Notamacropus eugenii: one gene and its partner. The protein of the gene in region 2 interacts with the protein of the main gene of each other region in a pairwise test. Links are inferred from orthologs where the notes say so. Each region holds a gene or a part of one and is shown on either strand. Other genes may lie near its edges.

What was found.
Region 1: the proteins of SETDB2 (region 2) and ARL14EP interact in binary tests that used the Homo sapiens proteins (3 or more experiments, as listed by UniProt). The two-hybrid records come from large-scale screens. The link is inferred for Notamacropus eugenii from reciprocal best matches to the Homo sapiens genes SETDB2 and ARL14EP.

The regions. Positions count from the first base shown.
Region 1 is NC_092877.1:21,033,682-21,042,401, forward strand, and holds the start of ARL14EP (ARL14 effector protein), read right to left. Parts: upstream 3,751-8,720; 5' UTR 3,600-3,750; exon of another isoform or gene 3,570-3,599; intron 3,079-3,569; exon of another isoform or gene 2,991-3,078; intron 2,710-2,990; exon of another isoform or gene 2,664-2,709; intron 2,412-2,663; exon of another isoform or gene 2,111-2,411; intron 1-2,110.
Region 2 is NC_092876.1:107,012,519-107,021,430, forward strand, and holds the start of SETDB2 (histone-lysine N-methyltransferase SETDB2), read right to left. Parts: upstream 3,824-8,912; 5' UTR 3,624-3,823; intron 1,503-3,623; 5' UTR 1,114-1,502; coding exon 1,098-1,113; intron 1-1,097. UniProt on the Homo sapiens protein: Histone methyltransferase involved in left-right axis specification in early development and mitosis. Specifically trimethylates 'Lys-9' of histone H3 (H3K9me3).

The DNA of each region.
Region 1 (8,720 bases), on a different chromosome or scaffold from region 2:
TGTGAATGGATTTACCAATGTTTTTACAGCAAATCAATTTTTATCAACAATGGAACCAATCATTTGTATTCTATACTCTATGTACTAGTTAAGGAAATAAAAATGACACGAAGAAGCTCACTAGAGGTGAGGTGACAATTTAAAAAAGCACCCTATTATATAGTGGTGGCTGGCTGTCCAAGAGGAAAGTGGGGCTCTGCTATAGCTATATGGCTTAACCCCTTTGGTCATCTTGAACTCACTCAGACAGCAGGGTTGCCACCAGAACAGTTATGATTTTCATGTAGAACCTGAAACTGAATGACTATTATGGTCAAGTGATTTTAGTAGCGGAATACGACCAAAATAACGTCAGTCAGAGAAGCCATAAAGCCCTAAAGGGTAGCAAGTGAAATTGACCTGATATATAGCACCCTGACCACTCATCAATGAAAGTATTTTGTAGGCACGAATGCATGGTACCAGGAAAAGTTAGCTTGGGACGTAACAGAGACGACAAAGATGTGCCTAAAGATTCTTCAACTCTGGAGGAGTTTCCACATAGCTGGGAAGATGATTTTAAGTAGAAGTCACAGATATTTCTAAATGCGGAGGAAAAAAATCACTTCAACAATCCCATGTCATCACTGGATTTCAGTGTAATATTTGCTCAGAAGTAGGTATTTGTTGGATCCTTGGTGCAAAAGAAACAGACAATTCTCATGAACTGGATACCTCACCTCTAACATCTGGTCACACACTACAGCTGGAAAAGCCTTCCCAGAGCACATTACTCATGCTAAATGATTCTTGAGAATTTTTTCTTAGTTTACTCTAACTGCTGAGACTTTAGGGACAAAATTTCAATTTCCTTTGCCAATTACTTTAACCTTTGAGTAACTTCTGTGATTGGTTAACCACCTGTGTTTCTGTTCCCGTTTTGCTTAGTTTAAAGAATTTAAAAATGCCTTGTGGTTGGAGCAACAGAGAAAGTAAACAAACAAAAAACCCTAGGCTTGAGGAACCTTGTAAAGACCCACTTACTGGCTACAGAACTTGGGCAACTTGTTTCACTTAATTTTAATTTATAAAAAAATCAAGAGGCAGAATTATATGCCTTCTAAAATTTCAAACCTAAATCTGCCAGCCTTCTGCAGATTTATCACTGTAAATTTACCACCCTCATTTTCCTAAAAGGCATTAAAATATACAGACTTAACTGTAGTCTACAACAATCTCTTTAGAGCACTTCTGCACTATGGGAAGAAAATGTGCAAAAGTAGATACTTATTTTGGGAAAGATGAAAGACTCATTTTTAGAATCTGCTTATGAGTGCTACTATAAAATATCAGGGCCATTTTTCATGTTACTATGCAGAACCTTTTTTCCTTTTGCAAATATAATGATTTGGTGTTTCCCCCTGCAAATAAAGAAAAGGCTTTAAAAACGTTTAAAGGCACTCCAACATCACATGACTCCTTAATAGCAATGACCACATACATTAACTTGAATACTCCTCTGATTGCTGACATCACTCAGGGCATGGCAAAGAGCAAGATAAATGCTAACCAAGTGTCCTCCACTGTCATGAAGGATGTGATACCAGTACCAACCGGCAGGAGGATTCTTCTTTATTACCTTAATCAGAGAATGGTAGCAACTGGAAAGAACCAGATTGGGAACTCTTTGAGGCCTTTCTGCGTATTCCCAGCACTTAGCTCAGAGCCCTGCCTATCTCTACGGGGGCTTAATAAAGGTTTCCTAAATGAATGAACTCTATTACTCTTTGGCTCCACTACAGAGGCCCTCCCCACCCCTCCGAGACTATAAAAGGGTAAGATTTTGCAGAATTCCAATCTAAAGATACACTTAATTCTTATTTCACCGAGTCTCCTCAAAGACACAGATGTTCACTCAGAAGAGCATAATGATCCAGGCAGAGGACAAAAAGGGGTTGAACACTGCGTATCATGGTCATCTTTCTAACACTGGTGAGAGGTGATATCTAACAATCAAAGGAGAAAACTCCTTTTTCTGCCCCCCCAGGTTAGTCTGCATTTTCTCCTGGCCTATGTTTTGTGACGTAGGCGTGAGGGTAAAAGTAGCCGTTCTCCAACAGCGCCCGCTCACCTGTGGTCCCCATTTCTGTCCTCTAAGCTAAGGCGAATCTTCTGGTTGCGCTCCCCATTTCCCGTCTTTCTTTCTAATGCAGACATCCTGGGAACCCCTTTCTCACCAGTCTCTCACCCTCACCCTCAGTCTCGCTGGCGTTTCACTAAGGCACCGGCCTTCCATTCCGAATCCCTACACCGGGTCCTCCAACCCTTTCTTCTTCTTCACCCTCTCCGCCCAATGACGTAATCACCAACAGAAGACTGCGGCACCTCCACCCCCTCGGCTGCGGCGCCTGGCCCCGCCCACATCCCCCATATTATCAGACTCTCCATCTCCTAACCTGGGGGGGGACGGGACACACCCCACCCCAAACCCAAGCCCTCTCCGGCCGCCTCCCGCCCCCTGGGGAGCAGGAGCAAACACTGACGGCTCCATTCCCTCCGCCCCGCTCCCTACAGACACCCGCAGGGCTCCCATTAAAACTTCTCTTTCCTCGTTCACAATTCGGCTATTAAAAAAAACCCTCCCGACATTCCTGAATTAAGACCGGAGGCCAGATCGTCCTCACCTACGGATTACCCAAAAACCAAGGGCGAGGCTCCGAGCCGCAGTCTGGGGGGCGGGCCTTACCCGGGCCCCGCCCCTCCGCCTCTTTCTCCCGAGGCCCCGCCCCCGCCCCGCCCACTGCGGCACTCTGCAGCATGACCTCATTGCACCAAACCTTCGGCCACGCCCCCGGCTCGGCCATTTTGGTGCTTCCACCATCTTGCCCATTTTCTACTAACGTTCCAATTTCAGAACGCGTAGTTAAAATAAACCCGTTCTGAGGGTCCGCGGCCGCTCCCGACATCATGGGGGAGGGGGGCACGATGAGTTTGGGGGTACCGTTACACACCCCGCAGGGGGACGCCACGGCTCGGCTCCCCTCCCCCTCCGCCATCTTGGTGCGTCTTCTCCCGTGGGGGTGTGTGTGGCGTTTAATGGACCTATCGACCAAGACGCCCCCCAAAAACCTTGAGCTAAAAGTGGCCCAACACAGCGGGGCCCGCCGTTAAGAGTCCGACGGGTGTGGCGCTGCAGAGTAAACAAAGGGCGCCCCCCCCATTCGCCAGGCGTGCGAGCCTGGGGGCCATCTTGTAACCAAGCCTCCCCGTTTTACAGGCGGGAGCACCGTGGGGCCCAGGCACCGAGGAGGATCCGAACCCAAGCCCCCCCGGCCCCCGGTTCGCCCGAGCTGGTCGCGGGCGTGTCCCCGACTGCAGAGCCGGAGGCTCCTCCGCACTGCGGAAAGGTGGGGCAGGGGCGCAAGGACACACCCGAGGGCCCTCGGGAGCGAGGACGCGGCGGGACCTGGATGCGAGCCCGGGGCCGCGGGCTTCCCAATTCTCTCCCCACCCCTCGCCCCAGCCCGAGGCGGCTCCCGGCCCTCCTAGGCCTGAGACCCGCCCTCGTGGTCGGGCCCCGAAGCCCTCACCGCTCTTCTGCCTCGGCTTCCGTCCAGTACCTTGCCCGGCGCCCGTCCCGGCTCCTGCCGCGCCGTCCCCCGCACCTCAGCCCCCGGGCCCGCCGCAGCCATGAAACAACTGCTCCGCACGTAGCAACCAGCAACACGACCAGCTCGCACCGCCCACCGCTATCGAGAAGACGTCGCGCGCTCGCTAGAGCGGCTCTTCTAGAGGGACGTCGCCAACGTGACCAGCGAGAGGGCGCGGGGGGCGTGGCGTGGCGTGGCTAGAGCGGCCGCGGCGCGGCCGCCATCTTGGGAAGGTCAGGAGGACCCAGGAGGCCCGCGGGTGGGGGTGGGGACCAGGCCCGATCTGCGGGCGAGGCGGGCGCAGGCCGGAGAAGTGGCGCGGGCCCGATCTCCCCGGGAGCTCTGCCCCTCAGTGGTCCGAGGCCCGGGGGCCTCATCCTGCAGTCAGGATCCTCACTCGTTCGTTCATTCCTTCCTTTACTCACAGATTCACTCATTCAAGCATTTCCTTCCTCCTCCCTCCCTCCCTTCCTCCCTCCCTTCCTCCCTTCCTCCCTCCCTCCCTTCCTCCCTTCCTCCCTTCCTCCCTCCCTCCCTCTCTTCCTCCCTCCCTCCCTCCCTCTCTCCCTCTTTCCCTTCCTCTCTCCCTCGTTCCTTTCCTTCTCTCCCTTCTTCTTTTTCTTCCCTCACTTCCTCCCTCCCTCTCTCCCTTCCTCCCTCCCTCCCTCTCTCTCTCCTTCCCTCCCTCTCTCCCTCCCTTCCTCTCTTCCTCTTTCCCTTCCTCTCTCCCTTCCTCCTTTCCTTCCCTCCCTTCCTCCCTCCCTCCCTCTCTCCCTCCCTTCCTCTCTTCCTCTTTCCCTTCCTCTCTCCCTTCCTCCCTCCCTCCCTCCCTCCCTTCCTCCTTTCCTTCCCTCCCTTCCTCCCTCCCTTCCTCTCTCCCTCCTTCCCTTCCTCTCTCCCTCCTTCCCTTCCTCTCTCCCTCCTTCCCTTCCTCTCTCCCTCCCTCCTTCCCTTCCTCTCTCCCTTCTTCCTTTCCTCTCTCCCTCCTTCCTTTCCCTCCCTCCCTCCCTTCCTCTCTCCCTCATTCGTTTCCTTCTCTCTCTCCCTCCCTCCCTCCCTCTCTCCCTCCCTTCCTCTCTTCCTCCTTCTCTTCCTTCCCTTTTCCTCTCTTGCTGTACCTCCCTTCTCTGAATCTGATAGGTTCCCACCCTTCTTTAAAAGGCCAAGTCCACATGTGTGAACTCTGTCATGAATGGGCCTTTCAGGCAGAGAGCCTCACTTTCCTCCTCAACAAAGGCCAATTGACTAAATCAGGGGAGACCCAGGTCTTCAGTTCTTACCTTGCACAAGGAGTCCACACCTTTTTGGGCAGGTGACTGAGGGGAGAGAAGGTATTGGTCATCCCTTTACTCTTCTGAGCGCATGGATGCCCTGCAAACACTCATAAAAAGAGCTGATGACAACACTGCTTGTTCCAGGCTACCACAGAAGGAAGAGATTAACCACAGGCTAGGCTCCCATTTCAAGGAAAGTGCTGCGTAGATGTGGGACTTTAACTGAATCCTGAAGAAAGTGAAAGTGGAGAGGAGAAGGGAAGGCTTCATGAGCTATTGGGACATTGTGTTTCTGAGCGATGAATTGTTCAAAATTCCCTTGTAATTTTATGAATTTTATGCAATAAAAATATTTTAAGGAATTCATAGTTTTTACTAGACACATGGTGTTGGTTATATAACTAAACATGAATATTCTATTTTGAAAAAATGGCCAGATTTGAACTGAGGTCCTCCTAACTCCAGAGACAGTACTCTATCCACTGAGTCACCTAGCTACCTCTGAACTTTTAAAAGATTTGAGAATACTTTTATGTTGCTTTCCCTGGGCAGAATTGCTAGTCATGGCTGTGCTGGTTATAGATTCAGTCAGTCAACAAGTATTTATTAAGTACCTACTCTGTGTTAGGCACTATATTAAGTAAGGGGGATACAAAGATAGGAAAAAGACAGTTCCTACCCTTGAGGAGCTCACAGTCTAATGGGGGAGAAAACAAATAGGTATGTACAAACAAGATGCACAGACACACACACACACACTCACATTCACATACCCACACGATAATTGGGAAATAATCAACAGGAAAGGTACTACAATTAAGAGTCCCTGAAAGGCTTCCTGTAAGAGGCGGAATTTTAGACTGGGATTTGAAGGAAGCCAGGAAAGTCAGAAGACAGGTGAGGAGTGAGAGAATTCAAGACATGGGAGACAGCCAGAGAAAATGCCCAACAGAGGATTTTATATTTGATCCTGATGGTGATAGGAAGCTGCTGGAGTATGTTGAGTAGGGAGGTGACATTTTCCAACCTGCACTTTAGGAAGGTCAGTTTGGTAAGCTGACAGGAGGAAGGGCAAAAGTGGGAAGAGACTTGAGGCAGAGAGGCCAACCAAAGGTTACAGTAATAGTCCAGATGTGAGGTGCTGAGGGCCTTTACTAGGGTGATGGTAGTGTCAGAGGAGAAAAGAGGCATATACAAAAGATGATGAAGTTGACGAGACTTGACAACAATTGGATATAGAGGGGTGAGAGAGAGTGAGATGATACCCAAACTGTAAGACTGGGTGAGTTGTGAGCTTGGATGACTAGGAAGATGGTCCAGCAGAGATGTCCAATATCTGGCGCCATGTTGGGACTGAACCAGATTAAAATGTAGTTCTTATTCTATTTTAATGTATTCATAAAAAAGAAATACAAAATTGTGTGGTTTTTCTAAGTCAATATTCAACCTGTAAGGATCCTTATGTATGGTTTAGGGGTCTGCATTTCTATTTTTGAGTTTGACGCTATTGCTTACAGTAATAGGGAAGTTTGGAACAGGGGAGGAGTTGAACATGAGTTCAGTTTTGGATATTTTGTGTTTAAGATATCTGTAGGAATCTAACTTCAAGCTGTCCAATAGGCAGTTGGAGATGTAAGTCTGGAGCTCAGCAGAGAGGTTAGAGATGGATAAGTAGATTTGAGAATCATTCACACAGAAATGATCATTGAATCCATGGGAACTGATGACATCACCAAGTGAGCTAATACACAGAGAGAAGAGAAGAGGGTCCTGGACAGAGTCCCTGGGACATATAAAATAATGGGTGTAGCCTGGATGAAAATCTAGCAAAGGAAACTGAGGAGTTGTCTTGTTGGGAGGAGGGTTACTAGGGTGGAGTAGTGACAGAGAAACCTCGATGGAAGAGAGCAGTATCAAGGAGATAAGGGTGACTGTCCAAGGTCCTGAGAGTTCCAAAGAAATAAAGATTAAAAAAGGCCTTAGTTTCTTCATCTTTAAAATGAAGTAATCTCTGAGAGCTACTTCACAGAATCGTGGTGAGGCGAAAATGAGATAAACCACTTTGTAAATTTTAAAGGGCTATATTAAGGTCCATTGTGACTTTAAGATTATGTGAATTTACTATGATTTTGAGTCCATGCTTTTATTACTACTTATTTTATTACTACTTAGGTCAAAAACTTAAACAGCAGGGCAAATGAGCCTTAGAGAAACAACAAAGGATATAATCAATCCAGTCGCCTCAATTTTCCCTCATATACTCATAGAAAGATGAGATTCTATCTTCAGCTCTAGTGTTTTTGCCTTTCCTGTTCCTTCTGTCACAGTATAGCATCTCTGTCATTTTCCATGGGTTTTCTCTGCTCCCCTCTTGCCCCCTCCCCATTATGATAGTCTGGGCATTCTAATGGGAGAGGTGCAATTAAATAGAAGGTCCCACCAAGTACACAACTTTGAGGGGATATTGCTTCAGGGCTGAGGTGCAGTGTTGCTTGAGAACCACCAGAGGGAGAACAGAGCATGGTTTTTTGTCAAGTCTTCTTCATGTTCTGTCACTCCTTTTTCATGAGATTTTCATTGTTGTTCAATCATGTCTAACTCTTTGTGATCCCATTTGGGGTTTTCTTGGCAAAGATACTGGGGTACTGGAGTGATATGCCATTTCATTCTTCAGCTCATTTTTACAGATGAGGAAACTGAGCAAAAAGGGTTAAGTGACTTGCCCAGGATCACACAACTAGGAAGAGTCTGAGGCCAAATTTGAACTCAGGAGGATGAGTGGTTCCAGGTGTGGCACTCTATCCAATGAGCCACTAGCTGCTCTTCAGCACACACTTACAAAGTGCCTTTTATGAACCAGGAACTATGCTATGTGCTGAGGTTACAAATCAAAAGTGAGACTTATCCTGTCCTTGGGGATCTTGAATTCTACTAATACTATTTACTATATAAGGAGTCTTTACTATTATCTGTAGTATCTAAGCTATTCACTCAACTGGATTCAATTCAACATTTATTAAGCAACAATCACATTTGTAGAAGTAGTAGGTCTAGGGATAATTACAGTCTCTACTGGTCCAGATGGAAAGTCTTCTCTGCCTCCTCATTTTGTACTTTTTGTGCTTTCATCCATTTAAAAACAATAGTGCCAATGATCACAACAATTCCATAGAACATTCATGTGGTAGAACACTGGACTTGGAGTCAGGAAGACTTGAGTTCAAAACCTACTTCAGACAATTAACGGTCGAATGATCTTGGGTTGAGTGATCTTGATCACTTACCTCATCTGTAATACAAAGGGATTAGGCTAGGGTCTACTCTAAGGTCCTTTCCAGACATAAGTCTGATCCTAAGGCCTTCCAGGTATACCAGTAGCCTTGCTCTGAGTCTTTTAATATTTTGTGGATGGCAATGAAAAAGTTGGACCTGTAATGAGTCACATGATTAGCCACCTTCTTTTTCTGGTCATCCTTATGCTCTTCTTGGAGTCCCTCCCTCTCTTCAAAGCTCGGCTCAAATTCAATTAATCAACAAACACTTATTAAATACCTAACATGTGCTAGGCATTATGCTAATTGCTGGGATGTGAAATTAAAAATGAGATAGTCCCATCCTGCCCTCAAGGAATTTACATTGTATATTCCAGGTTTTTCCTGATTCTCTCCCTTGTTACTGCTCTCAACACCATCACTGCGGAGTTTCTTATACATATGTATGAATATGTTACATCTCTTCCCAGTAGAGTATAAATCAGGGACTAGTTTTACTTCTACATTTATATTCACACACTCTCTCTAATGCAGTACTTAGAACA
Region 2 (8,912 bases):
GAGTTCCTTTTCAGAAGTGATTTAAAACATTTCTGGGTTTCCCTTCATATCCCTCTTCATCTGGCGACATTCTACTTTTCCAGGTCTATTATACATTCTCCCCTTTTACATATTCTGTTATCCAGCTAAACTGGCCTACTTGCCATTACTTGAAACATTCTGAAACATTCCATCTCCTGTCTTCATGTTTTCATACATTGTTTTGCTCCATGCCCTCATTCCTCATGGCCAGTTCAAGAATCCCTAGCTTCTGTCAAAGTTCAGCTCAAGTACCACCCCCTATCCTGATTCCCCAGTTGCAAGGTCTCCCCTCCCCCATTTTCTTCTCTGTATCTTTATGTTCACGTTGTTTTCCCTGATACAATGTAAGCTCCCTGGAGTCAAGGATTATTTCTTTTTTGTCTTTGTATTCCTAGCACAGGGATTAGAAAATGGTAAGCACCAAACAGTATTTGTTTATTGACTGATTAAAGTAAGTAGTATGAGGGTTTTATATAGTACATTTATATAGAGGCATTTTATACAGTCCCTAATAGGTGTCAGGTATTCTGCTAAGCACTTTATAGACATTATAATAAGGATAGTAATAATAATGATAGCTAGCATTTATTAAGTGCTTATGCTGTGCTGGACTGTGCTAAGCACTTTACAAGTATCTCCTTTGATCCTCACTACAACCCTGGGAGGTAGGTGATCTTATTATCACTATTTACAGGTGGGGAAACTAAGGCAGAAAGAGGTTAAGGGATTTGTCCAGGGTCACACAGCTAGAAGTGTTTGAGGCTAAATTTGAATTCAGGTCTTCCTCACTCTGATTACTTAAAAGTGTTCAAAAAAAAAAAAAAAGCGTTTGTTAAGCGTGCTTAAAAGCCATCTAATTTAGAATGGTCATTCTCAGCCAAGAAAGACTGCATGCCTGGCACACTGTAAGCACTTAAATTTATGTTTGTTGTATCATTTTCTATCATACTGTATTTTAACTAGTGGTACCAAGCCATTAAGAAGGTTGGCGGTAGAAGTTCCACAAGCTGAAATCACGTATACTTCCAAAAGCATTCTAAAAGCTTTTTCTAAGTTAATCATTTTGTTCAACTTACCATTTCTTTCTTCCATCTTCTGCAGCAGCTGTTGAAGTATGTGAACCTCTTCAGGATGAGATTTATAGGGACATCAGAGGAAACACTGATTATAATTTGAAAACATAACTAGCATCCAACTTTGGCTCCTATATTCCCTCCTCCAAGGCACTGGCAGTCATTAGACAACATTTCTCTCTCATTTTTCCTATTCTGGATCCAATGCCTTTTGATAAGCTTAGTCTGGTTAATTTTCAGACTGGAAATCATGATAAAAGGAACTATCAGAGGTGATTAATATTCAAATTCCATGTTGACTTCAAGTTATACTTCCAAGTCTTGATCCAAAAGTAGGCAAATTAAATAGGAACTTTCTTCATGATAAAAACATTTTCATTCTTTGCATCCATGAATCAGTAAAACACTCTATATGGAAAACAAGGAAAAAGAGTACACATCTGAAAAATGCAGAGTTGATAAATCATTTTTAAAGGGTATAATAAAAGTCACAGAATCACAGTACAGTTGGAATTCCTACAATGTTTTCAATTGGGTTATTCATACCTGAAACTACTGAACTATAATTTGTACACAAAAAATTTTCTCCCAGTGACTTTGCATATACAGGATACAGTAATTAAACAGGTTGGTTTCAACTGAATCTGTAGTTGGTTTCATTTCCTTTTTTAAAAGGAGAACACATTTAAATGAGTAAATACATAGTTATTTGATCACAGAATGTTTAAGATAAAATATATATAAATCAAGTCTTTTTCATTGAAATCTACAATAAACCAAAGGATATTAGATGTTCTAGGGATATTTAGAGATGGTTTGCTTCAATTCCAAATGAGGAATACTCATGGCACCCTCAACTGCATGGCTAATTTTTCTTTCTAAAGAAATCAGCGTCAGTTTTAACACAGCTTCCTAAATTAATTTTTCTAATCTTTACATATTCATTTTTTGCCATCTTATTTAATGTTCAAAGATGACTTTTCAACTTCAAAAATATTAAAGGGAATTTCTGCACCCAAAATGCAAGGCGTACTTAAGTTTTGACATCTAAGAATTGGCATGTTACTTATAGTGGTTAGTGTATCCAATTTGGAATCAGGAGAACTGAGTTAAAAGTCTATCTAAATACTAAGTAGCTATGTTACTGCAGAGAAGTTGTTAGACTTCTCAAAGTTCCAGTTCCATCTCAAAGATGAGTAAGGATACTTTCGATAACTATATTACAGGTTTTGTCCAAAGGACAACACTATAAGGCACTATGAAAATGAACATTATTATTTAACCTGTAGTTTCAGGTCAACTAAAAAAATGCAATTCTTTTATAAAATATAATTAAGGGCCAAAACAATCTTATTTAAATTTCTGATGGGCTTCCAACTTGCAGCCCCACAACTTTCTTAAATTCAAACTTTTTTTTTCAATACCAAAGCCGTTAAATAACCGAGCACAACTGTCATCTCCCCTTCAAGAAATAATATCTGGCAATTTTCTGATCAGGTCCCCATTGCCATACTTAGTGGCAGAAACATACCTATAAGAAAAAGCAATGTTACTAGGTTTTACTAGAGGGTCATTCTTTCCATAAGTAAGAGAAAACTGCTATTTCTTTTATTTACTATGTTAAACCGAAAGGTTTGAAGAACATGTCAAAGGACCAAGCACATTTTTTCTTTTTATACAAGAACTGGTGACACCTTTTTACCACTGTCATTCCTTTTACCACTATTGGGGCATATAGATCGAGTTATCTCCCTTTCCTAGGGGCTCCTACTCCTTAGAAGGCTGCTTCCCTATGGCAGCAGTTAAAAGGGAAATGTATTATTTTTGCTTCAAAGCTTTCCTTTTGGGGGAAGTGAAGAAAGACTACAGGGGTCAAGGCCTGCAAACGACCCCTCGACAAGTTTGGTGTAAAGACACTTTGGTCTGGGTTGCAGCCTTGGCTTGGACGGCTCCCGGACCCCAGCGCTTCCTTGGTTCCAACAAGCCCAAGGCTGCGTTTCCATGCCCCTGGGGCCCGGAGCGGGGAGCAGGGCTTCAGTCGAACGAGGCGCAGTCTCCCGCCACACGTGGGCTCAATTCAGACAGGGGGAGGCGGGGGAGAAGGGGGTCAGGGAGAACCCCGCGCCCCTGCAGCGGCCGGCGCGGGGACTGGGCACTCCCGGTTGAACGCTCCCACGAGAGAACCCGTTTGGCCCACATCCCCGCGAGTCGGCCGGCCGGATCCGGGCTTCCCCCGGGCTGGCCCAGGCCGGTCTCTCCCTGCCTCCTCCGGTAACAGCCGCAAGCGGCGTGACCCCGTGGGAGAGCAGCGCGGGAGGAAAGACGACGCCGCAATTCCGGAACGGAGAAGTCTTTCCGCCGCCGGGTCGATCAAGGTGTCTAATCTGGCCACCTCCTTCCGACCTGCGGCCTGGCTCCCTGCCCATCCGCGGGGCGCCGGGCGTAGCCCCCACCACCCTCCGGCACACCTCCACCGGGAGGATTCCTCGGCCTTTTTTTTTTTTTTTCAAATTCCCGTCGGATACCTACAATCGCTAGATTCCCGCCTCACCGGGAACGGAACACGCGCTTCCGAGCATCCCCGGGCATCCCTAAGGCTAAAGCCGAAATGGGCGGAGTCTGGGTCTCCCATCCGGCGCCTCCAAGAGAAGCGGCCATTGGTTGCTCTTCCGTTTGCCACACCCCTCGACTGGTTACGTACGGGCTTCCGAAGCCCGCGGAAGGCTTCTGTCATGCTCCGGCCCGGTTCCCAAGTGTACGCTCGCTCCCCGGCGCCTGATTGGTTATGTCCAGTCTCGGATTGTCTCGCGCTCCGGGGTTAAGCCAATAGAATCAACCGCAGTCGGGGAGCCGGCATCCTTGCAGCCGTGGCGCCGCGGTTCCCTCCGGTAGGTGTGTGGCTGCCATCTTGTGTGTGGCATTGCCCCGGGTGCAAGGGGGTGGGGTGCTCGGGAGTTGGGGCCGGCGGAGGAAAGGTCTCCTCCAGGACCGTCCTCTTTTTCCTGTTGGAAGGGTGAACAACTCCGTTACCCCGAGTTTCTCATCGTAGGAGGGAGAAAAGAGAGAAAGCGAGGGAGTTGTGGCCGTGATGGAGAGCCACCACTAGTGTTCAGTTTGTTTTTGTTTTGGGGGGGAGGGGGGCGGGGTGGATCTCCGCATCTGTGGGCCCTGACCTTGACCCAGCTAATGGGCATCCCTATCCGGGATACGCTTACACAGTCTACGGGCCGGCCTGCCTCTCGTTGGCCTTCCCCTTCCCGTCGTCATGGTAATAGGGAAGTGGAATGAGGGAGACTTTCTTTGCTTGCCTCGTCATTTCTGAGAACGCTAGAATTGCTTTTGACCGTGATCTTGCGTGGCATCGTCGTAAATGGGTGCTGGGTTCTGACCTCAAATTGTATCTTAATCAGTTGCCTTCCTTAAGATACGGTCCTCACATGCCCTCCAGCCTCCAGTCACCAAACTGCCCTTTGCTCCTTCCTGGGGGATCAGTGTCCAGGAGATCGGGATGTTTTGAGTCAAAAACCTCCTTTGATCTGCCCTCGTAGCTGCCCTGCTGAGGAAGAATTAATGCAACGTGGGCTTGGACTTCTGGATAATTTGTGTACAGTGACAAGGAATGTGTTAGGCTTAGGTTTTAATGTCATTTGACTTTTTAAGCTCTAAGGTGTTCTCTTTTTTTTCCTGAGAAACCTCCCATACTTCTGAGCTCTTTTCCCCAAACACCATTAAAAAATTATAAGGTGGATTTGTATCAGGGACACACATGTATAAATATAACTCTGAAGTCAGGGGATCTGACAACTAGGCTATTGAAAGTCTTCACTGTGCCGTTCTTAGTTTTGGCATCCGGGTGGAGGAGATGAAGATAACTATCTTATTGCACTGAGTTCAGTTTTCAATTATTCAGGGTTAGTCAGTGATCCAGCTGTATGATGGTTTTTGGTGACAAGGACATCAAAGGAATCAAACAGCTGTAATAATAATGAAGAAAATTATAAATTCCATCCTGTGGGTTAAAGGACTTTAGTTTCAAGAAGTCTTTGTTCCCATTCGAATAATATGCAGGAATGCAATGATGAATTTGGGGAGGATTGAGAGGAAAATTAGTTTATATGCAGTGTTTTATAAGTAGTGGATATTGCTGAGTAACAGGATACTAGAGTGCAGTTCTCTAAGTTGTAGATATAACTTTTAACTGAAAATACAGTGCTTTTCATTAATTTCTCACCTATTGAAATTGTGACCACTTGAATGTATTTGCTTATGTTGCATTCAGATAAATCAAGTAGATTCCACAGTCAGTTGTGCATTTGAATGATTGTTTTATTAGTAAAATTGATACCACTTAAGGTGCTATCTAGGATTTTACTTTGCTTTGTGAATTACCTACCTCACTTCTTTCCCAGAGTATACCCCCCTCTACCCCAGCAAACTTTAAACTTTAGTACTACTTGAAAAATCTGTAAGCCAGTACTTTTATGAGTGCCTTATTTAAACTTCTTGAAAATTCTAGTCACAGCCCTGCCACTAGCTTCTCTGCACCAAATCACCTTTTGGGACTTGTTTCCTAGTATGTAAAATGATTTAAATTACTATGAGCGCTGAGATCCCTTAGAGTAATATAGTACATACTTTGGAGCCACTGTCTTAACCCATCACTGGAATTAGCAAGAGAGAGGGCATAAGGGTTATCTTTGTAATTCTATAAGTTAATCAGCTCCCAATAGTATCTTTACTTCTTTACTTCTGTGATGAGCCATTGATATTGAATAGTCAGCCAGATGTAATTAGCTATTAGAAACAGGTATTTACTAGAGTGGTATATCTGGTACAGTTTTTACAAAATATCCCCCCACCAAATCTTTGACACACTTTCAGACCACCATTACATACAGAGTCTAAGGCAGGGGTGGGGAACTGCAGCCTCCAGACCACTTGTGGCTTTCTAGGTTCCTCAAATTTGATTCTTTGACTGAATCCAGACTTATTTGAAAGTCCACACCCAAGGACCTAGGTGGCCACAAGTAGTCTGAAGGCCACAGGTTTGCTACCTCTGATCTAGGGGAAGATGAGCTCAGCCTTAGAACACACATGTGGCAAAGGGGTAACCCACATATCCTGGAAGTTCATTTGCTAGAGTCCTCAAGATATCCCCGTTAAGTTTGGTATAGCTTTTCTGTTGGGCTCTTTGTAGAAGCTGGAGTTTGCCTTTCCTCCTCTTGTCTTTGACTCCCAGTGTATATAACTGATGTCAGCTCTTGCTATCCTGGGGATGTGCTAGCATTAGTTGAAAAGTCCAAAATCTATGCCTTTCTAAAGTCCACAGCATCCTCCTCAAGTCACAAGCAGGCAGGAGGAGACCGAAGCATTTGCTTCTAAGGAGCATGATCAAATCCCTCAACCAGTCAGAATGACTTGTCATACCTTAAGAAATATCCAGGCCTCGTTTATACCTAGTGAATTAACAAGATATTTTCTTACCTAGTTATGGATTCCAGGCATAGTATCCTGTTACTTACTTTTAGTGGGGTGAGAGTATTGTCTAGGTCAACTCCTGTCCTTATCCAGTTATGATATTCCATGATTCTTTGCCTTGAGTCTGTTTTTTTTATAGCTCTTTTGTTAATACAACCTAAAGGCAAATGAGGGCAGCTAGGTGGTACAGTGGATAAGAAGACTCTGGCCTCAAATAGCTGTGTGACCTAGGCCAAGTCACTTAACCCTGTTTGCCTCAGTTTCCTCATCTATAAAATGAGCTGGGAAGGAAATAGCAAACCACTCCAGTATCTTTGAGAAAATCTCAGATGGGGTCACAAAGAGTCAGACATAACTAAAAATGACTGAACAGTAATAACAAAGGCAAAGGATTGTAACTACTATAACATACAAATAAGTTTATTTCACTGATTTTCATTTTTATTAGTTAAATACAAGTATTTTAAAAATCATTATATGAATGTTTATTACTTTAAAGAACACATCTTAATTTGGTAACTATGGATACCTACCATGCTACCTTTCTTACATAAAACTATATGATCAATAAACGCTTAAGCTGAAAATGAATTATGAATATAGATAATGTGGTTCATTTGTATTTTGTCCAAGTAAGATTTTATATTTATTTTTTATATCAATCAGCAAAGTGAATTACAACACAGTATAAATTTTTAAAAATTTGTTTTATAAATTATTCTTTTATTATTGCTTCTCTCTCTATCCCTAAAGGAAAAGATTCTTAGTCTCCTGCTTAGAAACATCATGGTTTTCCACAAGTTCAGAAAAATGTTCTCATACGTATAGTGAAGTATTTTCTCATGAACTTAAGTAATTAAACCTAAAAGAGTTGCATTAAAAAAAGGTAGATGAAATATTAGCGAAAGAAAGGGAATAAGCATTTATTAAGTTCCTGCTATGTGCCAGGCACTATTAAGTGCTTTACAAATATTATTTCATTTGATCTGCACAACTCCGTGAGGTTGATTCTATTGTTATTCCCATTTTATAGGAATGATGAAACTGAGGCAGGCAGGTGAATTAACTTGCCCAGAGTCACACAGCTAGTAAGTGTCTGAATCTGGATTTGAATCTAGATCTTCCTGACTCCAGACTAAGTGCTTTATCCACTGGGCCACCTAGCTGGCTAGAACAAAATAGAGGAAATTACCTCTATTTCCATGTGGAGAAAAAAAAAATGCCATATTTTTAAATTGTTACCCATTTGTTAAATCATATGTAATATATGTATACATATGTTTATGATTTTTCTTTTTAGAAAGGAAAATATTGCTAGCATTAGAATTTTCTCATATTGCACAGTGAGGTTTCACTGTTTTAAACAATTGGGATGATTGTGTTTCATAAGACAAATTCATGTCAATTTATCCATTTACACTGTTAATTACTCCAGAGTAGCACTGACCTTAGATTAGATGGAATAACTTTTTTTTTTATGTTAGATGTGTGATTTTATTGATATAAGGACCTAACTTCCCCTTAAAGAAACCACTTTGCTAGTACAGATCTGTAATTGTCCTACAACTTACTTATGCTAATTAAGGATCTTTAAATCTTTACCTAAATGTTTATAAAGTCAGGCCTAGCAGCACTCCTGCTCTCCCTTCCCTCCCCTCAAGTCATCATCACAGGCAGCAAGCAGTCCTTAGCAAGAAAGGGCCACTAACACTACCACTGAAGACTGATCATCTGCCCTGCAAAGGCCAGGTATATACCCAAAAGCCCCAAGAAAAGGAGCCTTCTTTAGGCTGTTAGTGCTATTTCTAACCAGGTCTTTCCCAGCTTTGGGGGAGAAGCCATTGGAAGGCAGGAGAGCAACTTTCTGTAAAGGTACTTCAATTCCCTCTTTCTCAAGAGCTGTAACTACTAAAACCCAGAAAAAATTCCTCCACCTCAGTTTTTGGTACAGTCATATGACTCAGCATCAAAAAGGGCTATGATTTTATTGAAGAAAATGACACTAAAGAGATGGATTACCCTCTTCTCTGTCTCCATAAATCAGCCCTTCTTAAACGATGGGTTTCTATCCCATATGGGGGTCGTGTAACTGAATGTGTGTCATTCAAAAATCTGGCAACAGTAAAAGCTTTCTGAACTCACAACGACCAAAAAATTCTTAACTCACAAAAAAAAACCCCCCAAAATCAAACTCGTAATGAATCTAAGGTGTTTCTGGCAGTGCTTGCCAGTGTTACACCTCAAGACTTCACTGCAGCCTTTATTCTGAACACGCAACGTGCCCACTTTGCACTGTGCGTGTTGTCTCACCATGCAATGCCAACAAACACTGCCCAGAAA